Linked DNA regions of Oryzias latipes. The protein of the gene in region 2 binds, or shares a complex with, the protein of the main gene of each other region. Links are inferred from orthologs where the notes say so. Each region holds a gene or a part of one and is shown on either strand. Other genes may lie near its edges.

Evidence for each region.
Region 1: the proteins of cnnm2 (region 2) and arl15 are in contact, whole or in part, in a crystal structure (PDB 8F6D), measured with the Homo sapiens proteins. The link is inferred for Oryzias latipes from reciprocal best matches to the Homo sapiens genes CNNM2 and ARL15. Residues at the interface, in NP_060119.3 of Homo sapiens: Asn490, Val492, Pro521, Leu522, His523, Phe524, Val525, Phe526, Thr529, Glu537, Lys542, Ser543, Gln549; in NP_061960.1 of Homo sapiens: Tyr92, Ser94, Arg95, Gln98, Gln128, His129, Pro130, Gln131, Cys133.

What each region holds. Positions count from the first base shown.
Region 1 is NC_019867.2:5,700,195-5,705,596, reverse strand, and holds the end of arl15 (ADP-ribosylation factor-like protein 15), read right to left. Parts: intron 2,871-5,402; coding exon 2,718-2,870; 3' UTR 1,423-2,717; downstream 1-1,422.
Region 2 is NC_019859.2:29,483,077-29,488,637, reverse strand, and holds the start of cnnm2 (metal transporter CNNM2), read right to left. Parts: upstream 3,706-5,561; 5' UTR 3,304-3,705; coding exon 1,533-3,303; intron 1-1,532. Other genes in the region: as3mt (arsenite methyltransferase), read right to left, coding at 4,128-4,238, 4,930-5,052, 5,125-5,264.

The sequences.
Region 1 (5,402 bases), on a different chromosome or scaffold from region 2:
GCCCTCAAGGCACCAATTACACCCTTCATTCTCCTGAATTAGTAATAAAAGCTCCTGTAGAGACTTGAACACTCTACATCAACTCGTCTCTGGCACTTTCGCCTCACAAAGCATCACGAGGTGATTAGGAAACCGGATTACAGCAAAACAATATTTAGTCTTGATGGATCTTGTTCCAACAAAGAACAGCGGAACCAGACAGGTGGGGCAGAAGAACCCCTGAAGCTGAGGGAGGGGAATGGCTGCATCTTCTTCAGGCAAAGTAAACCAACTGTACAGACAGCGTCTGTCTGCGTCTTTCTCTTGGGAGGGCCTTGCCCTGAGCCTCTTTCCTTCCCCTGAGCTCCCTGGACGTCCACCCTGAGGGAGGCTGTTTTGGTGGGACCGAAGGGAAGCAGAGACCGAGACAAAATCCGAGACAAAAACACGGTAATGAGAGAAAGAAGGGCTTAAAATAGAGAGAAAGTGAGAGTGACAGGGAGAGAAAAGGGGGAGCCAGATGAGCGCAGCAGCCCATGGTTTGTCTCAGGGCTGCAACAGCTTCCAGAGCTGGTGTGCAGCAGACTGAAGAGAAGCACGTCTGTCCCAGAGGCAAGGACTGGAAAACAGGATCAAAGAGTCGCCAGGGCAACCTGCATGACACACATTGTATTAAAGCCACACGGTTAATTTAAAAGTGAGGGAAGAAAGGAGGAGGCAGAGGTAGCACAGAGCCCAGTACTTTTATCAGGAAGTTCTGTCTCACCCCGTTAACTCTCCACTCGAAACTTTCTCCGCTTTGATCGCTTTGTTTCTGTCAGACTTTGGCTCCGTCTGCGTTTTCCTGCAGGTCCTCTTCCTGTCAGGTTTGCTCAGACGCACCTTAATTCACAAATCACAGACTCCAAAGAAAGATTTTCACCAGAGATCGAAAACCTTTCTGTCACCGCTTTACACTTTAAAGATGGTTTTTAACGTTCTTGTGGCATTTTTCTGATGATGGAGGACATATTTAAAAGAAATTGAGCTTAAAATGATGTTTCTAAATATTTCTTTATTTAAATCACTGTGAATCGGAAGCAGACGGCAAAAGAAGAAAAATGTAGTTGTTATTTAGAAGATAGTTGTTCACTTGTCGATGACTAGATCTTGGCTTTCCTCACTGCGGCCGTACGCCTGGATAGCTCCGATTTCAGGCTGGGGGGTGTGAGGGGCTGTAAAGGGATGATGGGACGTGTGGGCAGGCTTGCACCAAAGGTCCAGGTGATTTTCTAATGAACTCCTGCCGCTCTGCAGAAACTAGGTCTTAGGAAATGACATCGTAATAATTAAAAGATCACTGCAAACACTATTAGAAAAGCTCAAAATCCCCCTTTTTAAAAATAAATAAATAAACAAAAAATGCAACATTTCAGGTGATAATAAATGAAGCAACAGTGGAAAAACATTTCTTGTCGACAGATTTATTAGCATTGAAGCCAACATATGCGCTGATCCACTCACTTCTCACATCAGGTACAAAAAGTGATCAAAGTGTTAAAAAACCCGACAAAGTACAGAACAAAAACAGAGAGAGGTCAAAAGTTTTTGGTTTCTTAAATGCACGTTTGGACCGACCATGTGGCACTACGACTGCGACTTTCGGGGAGGGGGTCCACGTGGGGGCACGGCGGCCGAGGTGGCATGGGGGGAGCAGAAATGGGGTTGGGAGCGGATGGATAGGGGGTCCGGCGCGATAAACGGCAGACAGGGAGGGGTCTCCAGACAGTTGGAAGGCATTAGGGTGTCGGACAGACGCTTGTCAGAGGCAGCTGTTCCTGCGGCTGATTGATAGTTTGTGTTTCACCCCGATGAGAAACTGCAGACGCCGGCCTGTGCTGAAGGATCGTGTTCAATTCAAAAAAGAAAGAAAAAAACGTTCATATCTACAGGTAAAAGAGCAAAAGACGAGCACGGCCTCAACACTTCAATGTCTCCGTGGCTTTCTGTCAATCGTTAACATTTGGTCTGTGATTTTGAAAGAAATTCATATGACAGATGAATGCACAACATGTATTTATATATATAAAACGTTAATCTATGAGGTTCACATAAAATATAAGCTAAGTTTTACATTTAAAGCCCTCAGACTTTTCCAAATGAACCCATAAAGTCACTTTGCACTTAAGTCTCACAACTAGTAGCGCGTCCTTGTGCTGCACAGGAAGCTGCACAGCACAGGACGCGTCTCTATGTACATAATACTCCATCACATACTCAGCTACACTATTCAGATTAGATTTTTCGACGTAGTGTAACACACTGGCGTGTAACTACAAGGCTGCGCACTTCAGTGGGTGGATCTCTGTGGACAGAGGCTCTCAGTCCTACAGCACTTCTCAGGGGAAAACATCAACCGAGTTCACCAAACATCCTGCAAAGGTAGGTGTGTGTTCGGGTGTTGGTGTCTGATCCGATCACGTTGGCACAAACAGTGGTGAACCACTTTACAATTAAAAAAAGTTTGTTTTTTTGCTAAAACCTGCTGTCTGCCTCGTTTGCAGTCGTCATTATTCCTGCGAACTCCTCTACTGAGAAACGAGACTGCAAACAGTCTACAATACACACATCTCAGCGAGAGGCCAACAGCTGTTGTTTTTGCTAGTATGTACATGTTTGTGTTTCTGCGTGTGGTGTGTGTGTGTGGGCAGCAGCAGGATGTGGTGTTTGTAAGCCACTAATGTCTGCTAACATTAGCATCATATCCTTGCAGGCTCTGTGTCTTTGTCCTCCAACAGGTTAATGAACTGAGCGAAGCTCTCCTTCACCGCCACCAGGTTGTCGGTGCTGCTGCCTTCCAGGATCCAGCGCTTCCCCCGGGCCAGCGGCTCCAGCTCAAAGTACTTTTTAATCTGCAGAAAAACGGAGGGACAAAGATGCAAAAGCGGTCAGAAGAAGGATTTTAGACTATGAAGTCTAATTCCTCCCAAACGTCCTCATTTCACGAGCCATGGATGCGCAGTTAAAAACTTTTGCACAACGGCGTTTTAGGAGGTTTAAAAAAAACAAAAGAAAATTATTCAAAACAAAAGCATCTGTGTTACAGCTGAGCGCAGCATTCCTGCATAGCTTTAGTAGAAGTAGCTTAGAATAAATGCATTTTAATTCGGCGCCGTTCCTGAGTGCTCGTCGGCGCGAACACGAAGTTTGGAAGTGCCGCTCACGCCAGGTGAGCAGCCAATCAACCGCCGGCGCTTCAAAAACCTCCTCTCCATCACTTTTAAGTTATTGTCACTTCATTTTGGCCAATTAGGAAAAATCTGGTCCATTTTTGCAACTTTGGCTTGAAAGTGGAGTAAACAAATAAATAAAAGGAACAAAGTCAAATAACGAAGACTAAAGTCATTTTCATATGAAAATGATCTGGCTTTGCCTCTGATTCGGACCAGCTGATTCCAAAGCTCATATGTTGGCTTTGGCAGCTCTTGACAGAGGGGCGCTGTGACATTTGGAGGGAAAGCAGAACCAGCTGTTAAGTAGAAACAAATCTCAGCAGAGAGGAACACTGCCAAAGACCTCCACTGATGGATCCTGCAGGTTGTTATGGGTTCTGACATTCTCCATCTTCAAATAACGGAATCAATATTTTTGCTTAATGTGAACGGGGTCCGGCGATTCTAAATTTCAGAGCCAGACCCACGACGACAGAAATGTAGAAAAAATAAAGAACGGGAAAAATACGACAACGTTTCCTTTACGATGACATTGCCACAAAATGAATGATAAAATCTGAGAGTTTTCAGTAATTTGAGATCATTTCAGTGTCATCGGCAGCAGGGCTGGACGGCAAAGACCCCTTTGTTTTTGCGATTCTACTGTCTTACTGCGTGTATTAATGAAAATTTGACGCCCACCAAATACTCAACAACACTTTAAAATGTGCACACACCCAGTGAAAAAGAATTTTTGACACGGTGAACCAACCCCCCAAAAAATGATGACATCACAGCCGGAGAAACTGTCAGAAAAGGAGTGGGGCCAAAGGATTGGCCAGGTGTGAAATGATCACAGTTTTGCACAATAAGGGAATAGAAACCCTTTCTTTGAGCGATCTTCACATAATTCCACACAAATGCCGCCAGCTTAAGTCTTCAACCACTACCTTTGACCTCGGGAAGAGGCGGACATCGGAAATTTTCTTTAAAAAACAAACCAAAATCGTCTTTGGTACCAGCTCCAAATTTAAAGTCCTCCTGGGGATTTCAATCTATCGCCTCTCAACTCCTCGAGCATCATTGGGAAGCTGCTGCTTAGTATTAGAAGTTCAAGATATTTATCGGCGCTGGCGTGGCGAGCTTGCAAAAGTGGCGTTCCCCTGTAGCTTGCGCGTTGTTACTGGAATATTTTGAAAATGTCATACATGAATTCCTGGCTCAAGCTGAATGAAACAATATGATATACAGTATGAGCATATTAGGAATGTGGTCAACAGAAAAACCTCAGTTGCCACGGAAATCCCAAACTTTACCTTTGCTGTTTCTTCTAAAAATTACATACACCTGTGTCTCACCCCCAGGCCAACGGTTGCTATGGCGATAATTAAAAAGCAACCATTTTGAATAAAGTGTTGTTTTAATGAGAGTGGAAGGAGAATGAGGGGCATAAAGCAGCCTCTCAGCCAGTGAAGGCGGGTCACGCGTGTGTATATTTTCATAATAAAAGCCTGCAATCTGTCTCTGGCTTTCATGACACAGCTCTGTGCGATTGAACAAGTTCAGAATGACAGAGTCAAAATGCACAGCAACAGACTGAAGATTTGTGGAGACGGGTAACAGTGATGAATCCACGATGATGCCCGTCACGCAGCTAAATGACTTAGCTGTGTGACGGGACTTAGCTGTCCTTTCCGTGCCACGGTGTGTGGCACAAACGGGAGGAGAGGGGGAGTTTTCTCAAAGTCTGCTTAAACCCAGCCAGCCATGCCAGTGGAAGAGTGAGCGCAGCGTCTGTCCCCCCAGATCAGAGTCTCTGTCCGGGTGTAATGTGAGTTTAATGACAGATTAAGTCACCTCAGCCGCGTTTGGCCTGGCTAGAAAGCTGAGTGGACCCAAACAGTGTTAACAAATCTGTCTGGGTAACTTGAGCTGCCCTAGACCAGGCTCTGGCCGCAGACCTAGACTGCAGATGATGGGGCTTGTCTGCCCTGTCTGGCTTTTTTTCCCCCTCTGCCTATAGCTGTGGCCCTCTTCTGGAAGTGGCTGGCCCCTGCACTGGCAGACAGTCAAAAGGCCAAGAGTGACCTCTGTTCATGTGCAGACAGGCTCAGGCTTCTCATGCTTCCTCTCGCGGCTTCATGGCACAGATCGCAGCCAGCAGCACGTCACCCTGACAAGTCTTTTGCTCGTTACAAACGCACTCATAAAACTGCCAGCCCGAGATATCGA
Region 2 (5,561 bases):
CATTATTATTAATAGCTCACAGCTCCTTTTCATCAGTGTGAGGTTCACCTTTGAAAGGTTATTTATGGACATTTTCATGGAAACTCAATAAAAAGGGTTTAAAATTAATTTACAAAATGTCTGACATGTTCAACAGGTTTGTGTGTAATCACACAAGCAATGAAATGAAGATGATTTTCTTTTGTAGAAACAATGATTATTCAGCCTGTGCTAGTATGGTTAATATTGAGAGACAGGATAAAAACAAATTAATAATGATCAAAAGCAAGTCTAAAGTGATCGTTTTGCAGAGATTTGTTCTCAATCAACTGCTATGTTTCCAAAAACAGATGCTATGGGACAAACTGAACAGGAAACTACCACTAAATGTTGTGGAGGTTGCAATAACTGTTGAGCAAAGTTTAAGTTGTGAGAAATGCACCAAGGCAACTGAAGAAAAACTGTAAAACAAATAAGTGTGTTGAAAAATATTCTACACTCCCGAATTCACAAGTGGAAATGAAGATTCTTTTTCTGGTGTTTCTTATGATGGTAGGTGACAGTAAGAAGTGTCCTTTGTTTTTGCAATTATCATCAATAGTTTGCAATCTGGTTGACTAGTGAGAGACTGCACTCGGATTGGCTGCTTGGCAGGGGAACGGTTCAGAATGGTCGATGAGTTAAGAAGAATATTGGTGTCAAAAAGTTTGTGACTGTAAATGTGTGTGTTTGTGTTTGTGCTGTTATAAACGTCTGACGGACATAAATAGATTTTTACCAAACCATTATTCTGCAATTGTTTATGTAAAACTTGTTTTCATTTGTGGACCTCGGTATACACCTGTAAACCAGAAATGACTATAACTGGCCCCCCTGTCCCCAAACAGTCCCTTATGTAATGCTAATTTGGCCCTGAGAGTTAATCTCTGGTAACAGAGCTGATAGATTTGCTGCATGTTTATCCACTACTAATGAGCACAAAAGGCAGCAGGCGCTCACATCCGCGTTTGCACACATACAGGTGTGCGTTCAGGTGTGCCTACTTCAGAGAAGGCCAAAGATTGTCCAAAATAGTGGTTTCTCTAGCGGCCTAGAGAAATGTGCAGATGGGAGTCCGCTTCCAGTTTGGTATTCATTGTCCACACCACTGCATTCCAGCAGAGGTGGACCAAAGCAGCTTCTCAAGCCAGATTCCCCCACCTGATAAGGTGAGCGGGACTGCTGCACCGTTCCCACAAGTGTGTGGGGTGAGGTGGGGTGGGGGGTGGAAAACAGAAGGAGAGAGGCAGAACATTAACACAGGACGCAGCGATGGGAAGAAGGATGGATAAATAAATAAGCCTTTACACTCCCTCTGTACAGGAACGACTGAGAGACATTCCTCCAAAGCAGGTTTTGTCTGCAGGTGAGCGCACAGCTGGATATGCAGACGCAGCAGCTGCGTCTGCATATCCAGCTGTGCGCTGGATGGTGCGCAGGTTGCTGTATGAGTCACCTGTGACAGGTGCCTCCGCCAGCTGCAGGCTGACAGCGGAGGAGTAAACTCGCCTCACCTTTCTTGAACTCCTCCAGCATGGTGTCCAGCTTGGTGTCGTTAAAGACAAAATGCAGAGGATGGCTGTAAAACTTGGTGATGGTTTTGAGCGGCGTGCAATCGTCCGGGTCCACAAAGGCCAGGTCCTTGACGAGGAGCAGGTCCACGATGTTGGACTTCTCGCCCTCGAAAACGGGGATGCGCGTGTAGCCGCTCTTCATGATCTCGGACATGGTGTTAAAGTCCAGGGTGGTGTCCCCGGGGATCATGAAGCAATCTCTCAGCGGGGTCATCACGTCCTCCACCGTCTTAGTCCTGAGCTCCAGCGCGCCCTGGATGATGTTCAGCTCCTCCTTCACCAAGTCGTTGTAGGGGTCCGTGACGCGCAGCATCTCCAGGAGTTTCTCCCGGTTGTACACGGTTCCGATCTCCTGTCCGAGAAGGTAGTCCAGCAGCTTGCTCACCGGGTAGGAGGCGGGAAAGGTGAGCAGCATGAAGAACTTGGTGAGGAAGATGGTGTTGGCACCCACAGCCAGGCCGTGTCTGGAGCAGATGGCCTGGGGCACGATCTCCCCGAAAATGACGATGCCGATGGTGGACATGACCACCGCGATGAGGCCGGAGCCGGCGATGTCGTCCAGCAGGATGGTCAGCGTGGTGTTCACCAGCACGTTCCCCAGCAGGAGCGAGCACAGAAGGTAGTTGCCCTGGCTCCGGACCGGCTCGATCTTTTTGGCGTAGTTCTTCTCCCTCTCTGTGCCGCAGTTCTGGACGATCTGGAGCTCCATGGGGTCCAGAGCCATGAGGCCCAGGTTCAAGCCGCTGAACATGCCGGACAGACACAGCAGCATGGAGATGAAGATGACCTGGAGCCAGAAGGGCAACAGGAACTTCTTCTCCTCCACCACGATTACTTTGGTGTCCTCCCCATCGTGGTAGATCCAGGTGTTCTCGGTCCACGGGTCGTGCGTCCCCGCCGCGGCACTCGCGGAGGTGGCGATGCAAAGGTAGTAGGCTTTACTCCTCTCGGTCTTCCGCAGAGGTTTCACGTCGATCTCCAAAATTCCGGAGGTCTTTCGGTTCAGGATGATGTTGGGGAGGATGATGATATCCGAAGTCCTGATCCCGCAGGGATGCGCGCCGGACCAGTCATCCGAGTCCTGCTCATCCCAGGAGGAGCTGTCGTAGGCGCGCGCCGCGCGGCTGCGCTCGTGCTCCGTGAAGGCGATCTTGGACCAGGTCTCGTTGTTGATGTTCTGCCCGTACACCCGCAGGCGGACGCGGGAGCGCTCGCTCACCCGGAGGAAGCCCTTGTCCATGAAGGAAATGTCGTCCGTGTCTTCCAGCCGCAGCCCGATTATGACGGTCTCCTCGGAGCCCTCCGCGCCGCTCGTCGGGGTGCCGCAGCAGCCCGTGACAGTCAAGAGAATCATCGCCAGAGCTCGAACCCGGTTCAGTGACGCCATGTTTGCGGCGGTTTCTGCCTGGGATGACGGATCTGCCATATCGATCAGCAGTAGAAGTCGACCTCCTGAATGAGAGGCGCTGTGGATCAGAGTCCGTCCGAGTCCGCCTTCATCTCCGCGCACGGCGGCCGGGACTGGTGCATCGGGACACGCTCGTTCCCACGACGTGTCCGACACTGAGCTCAGACTTTGGGGCCACTCACGCCTCGCCTGATGTCCCCGAGACAGGCGACGGCGGCGACCAATCAGGGGGCGCAGACGGCCAGGAGGCGGGGCCTGCGCAGCTTCCTCGGCGAATGAAATTCCCAAACAAGTGCACCTCATGTGAAGAAGCCTGGCTGAGTGAGGGGATGACAGACACTTTCACGCTCCGTGACCGCGTGGAGTGACAGAGCTGCGCGCAAACGGTCCTCCAAAAAGCCACAACTGTTTCCTCACAGCAAATGAGCAGATTTGACCGGGCAAAAAGATGCGAGGCAGTTTCTTTTCAGGAACATCATCCTTTAAACTTCAGGGATTCCCTAAATATTTACTCTCAAGTCTGCATTCTTTAAATCTACATTTGTGTCCGTTGATCATAGAGTCAAACATTTGTTTGGCTGCTGGACAGGGGGTAGGGGTGGGGGGTGAAAGTCCTGATTAGATGCAAACTTTTCCAACCTCTGACAAAAAACTTTTTACCCTCCGCTGGTTGATAGATGGAATAAAACCAAAACATTCAATGTTTGAATATTTTTATAGCTACAGACTCACGACGCAGAACATTAGAACTCTATAAAGATGATTTGTGTGCAAAACTTAAATGAAAAAAGGTCAAAAAGACAAGTTTTGATGTGACAATAAGAGCTTTAATGAACTGGCATACATTATTGTCTTTAAGGACATTTCTGAATGAACATGTGATCATTAACCTTTCTATACTGCTTATTAATGTTTTAACTCATTCTTTGGGTTTCCATTTAAAATTATTTCTCATTTTGAAAGATTAGAACTAAAAATAAACCAGTTTCTTCCTTTCTCCTTACAGATTTATAGACTGGAGCACAAAAAAAAGGAAACAGAAAGTCACAGGCAGGACACCGCTTCTGAAAAGGTCCTGTATGCTGACGGAGCGGTGCAGCATTGTCCTTCCCGTGGTCTTCCCAGCATCACTTGCAGCAGTCAGCAGGTCGAGTGCTGCAGCACCCCCCTCCTGTGGCCGAGACGAGGCCCTGCTCGCCGGACTTGAGGGCCAGCTCGAAGGGATCCGCGGCGTTCGCCTGCATCAATAATTCAGCGTTAGGAGCTGAGAGCAGAGATGTTATCTGGCTTTGTGCAGCAAAGTTGAGTGCCATCAGAAATCAAAGCACCGCCCACCATGCTTGACAGCGCAGGATTGTTTTCAGTACTTGTAGCTGCAGTTTTACAGGAACGAATAAAGGTGGTCCTATCAGCTAAGACCCGTGTGGGTTAGGCAGACTTTCTCCTCCTTGATTCCTTCAGGAGGTGGGCATGGTGGTTGGCGGATGGGTGTCAAAGGTAAATAGTAAACTGACTGTAATGAATCACTTCTAAAGTACTTTCCACGCATAAATGCTTCAGCAGAAGCTAAAAGAAGTGGTTATCTATGAGTACGAGAGCTTTGTAAAACAGTCCAGCAATATTGACAAATGTGTACATGTGCCTGTGCACTTCTGACACCAGGAGCTGATAAGATGTCACTGCAAGAGAAGAGAACATTCCTTGCTGCTCAAGGTTCCCAGCATGACTCCAGTCCGATTATGTCTGCAAGCAGCTGCTCAACCCTCCGAGTGTGTGTGTTGCTGTGTGTGAGGCACAGAGCGTGCAGCGCGTGTGCGGCCGTGGGTGTGTCACGCTCTTCCAGCTGGTATCGGAAACACACTCATCTCCACTGTGACAAAGGCGCACAGCAGAATACTTCATTCCTCAGACTGTCTGGGAAACACTGACCTCAGCTGGGACGCTGCGGGGCTCACAGGAGCCCCCTGGTGGCTGGAAAGTGAAGTCGTCTGCAAACCTGGAATGTTTCAGGATGCTGGCCAGCTCCTGGTCCACCTCCACTGGCTCATTGGCCTGCAGATATTACCACCATGTTAAAACATTTGCGTACACAAAACCTGGTTTCTGCAGGACTGACACACAGACCTTAAAGGTGTAGCAACAGTCAAAGTGGAGGACAGTCTCTGACCCTGGAATCCCTCCGTTGTACATCACCCGGCAGGCCTTGGACTGACCCCTGGGGAGCTTGAACAGGCGGTATGTGGCAGAGACAAATCTGAAATCACCTGTGTGACAGAAGCAGATAGGAGAATCAGACCTGATGCTGGTGAGCAGCATTGATGTCTGAGGAAACGTCCTGGATGATCAAAACACTTAAGTGAATCGATGAGAACAAATGATGAAACTAAAGCAGCTGCGTGAGAACATTCCTTCCTGTTCGGGGTTCCCAGCACAGGAGGGTGGGGCTTTGATTTCTGATGGTTTTCTGCAGACTAACAATCATCACAGCTTTGAATGAGGAGTGTGTACAGTGTGCCTCTTCTGGAATCAAAGGAGGCGGTCCTGGAAACTAGTTCCTCACC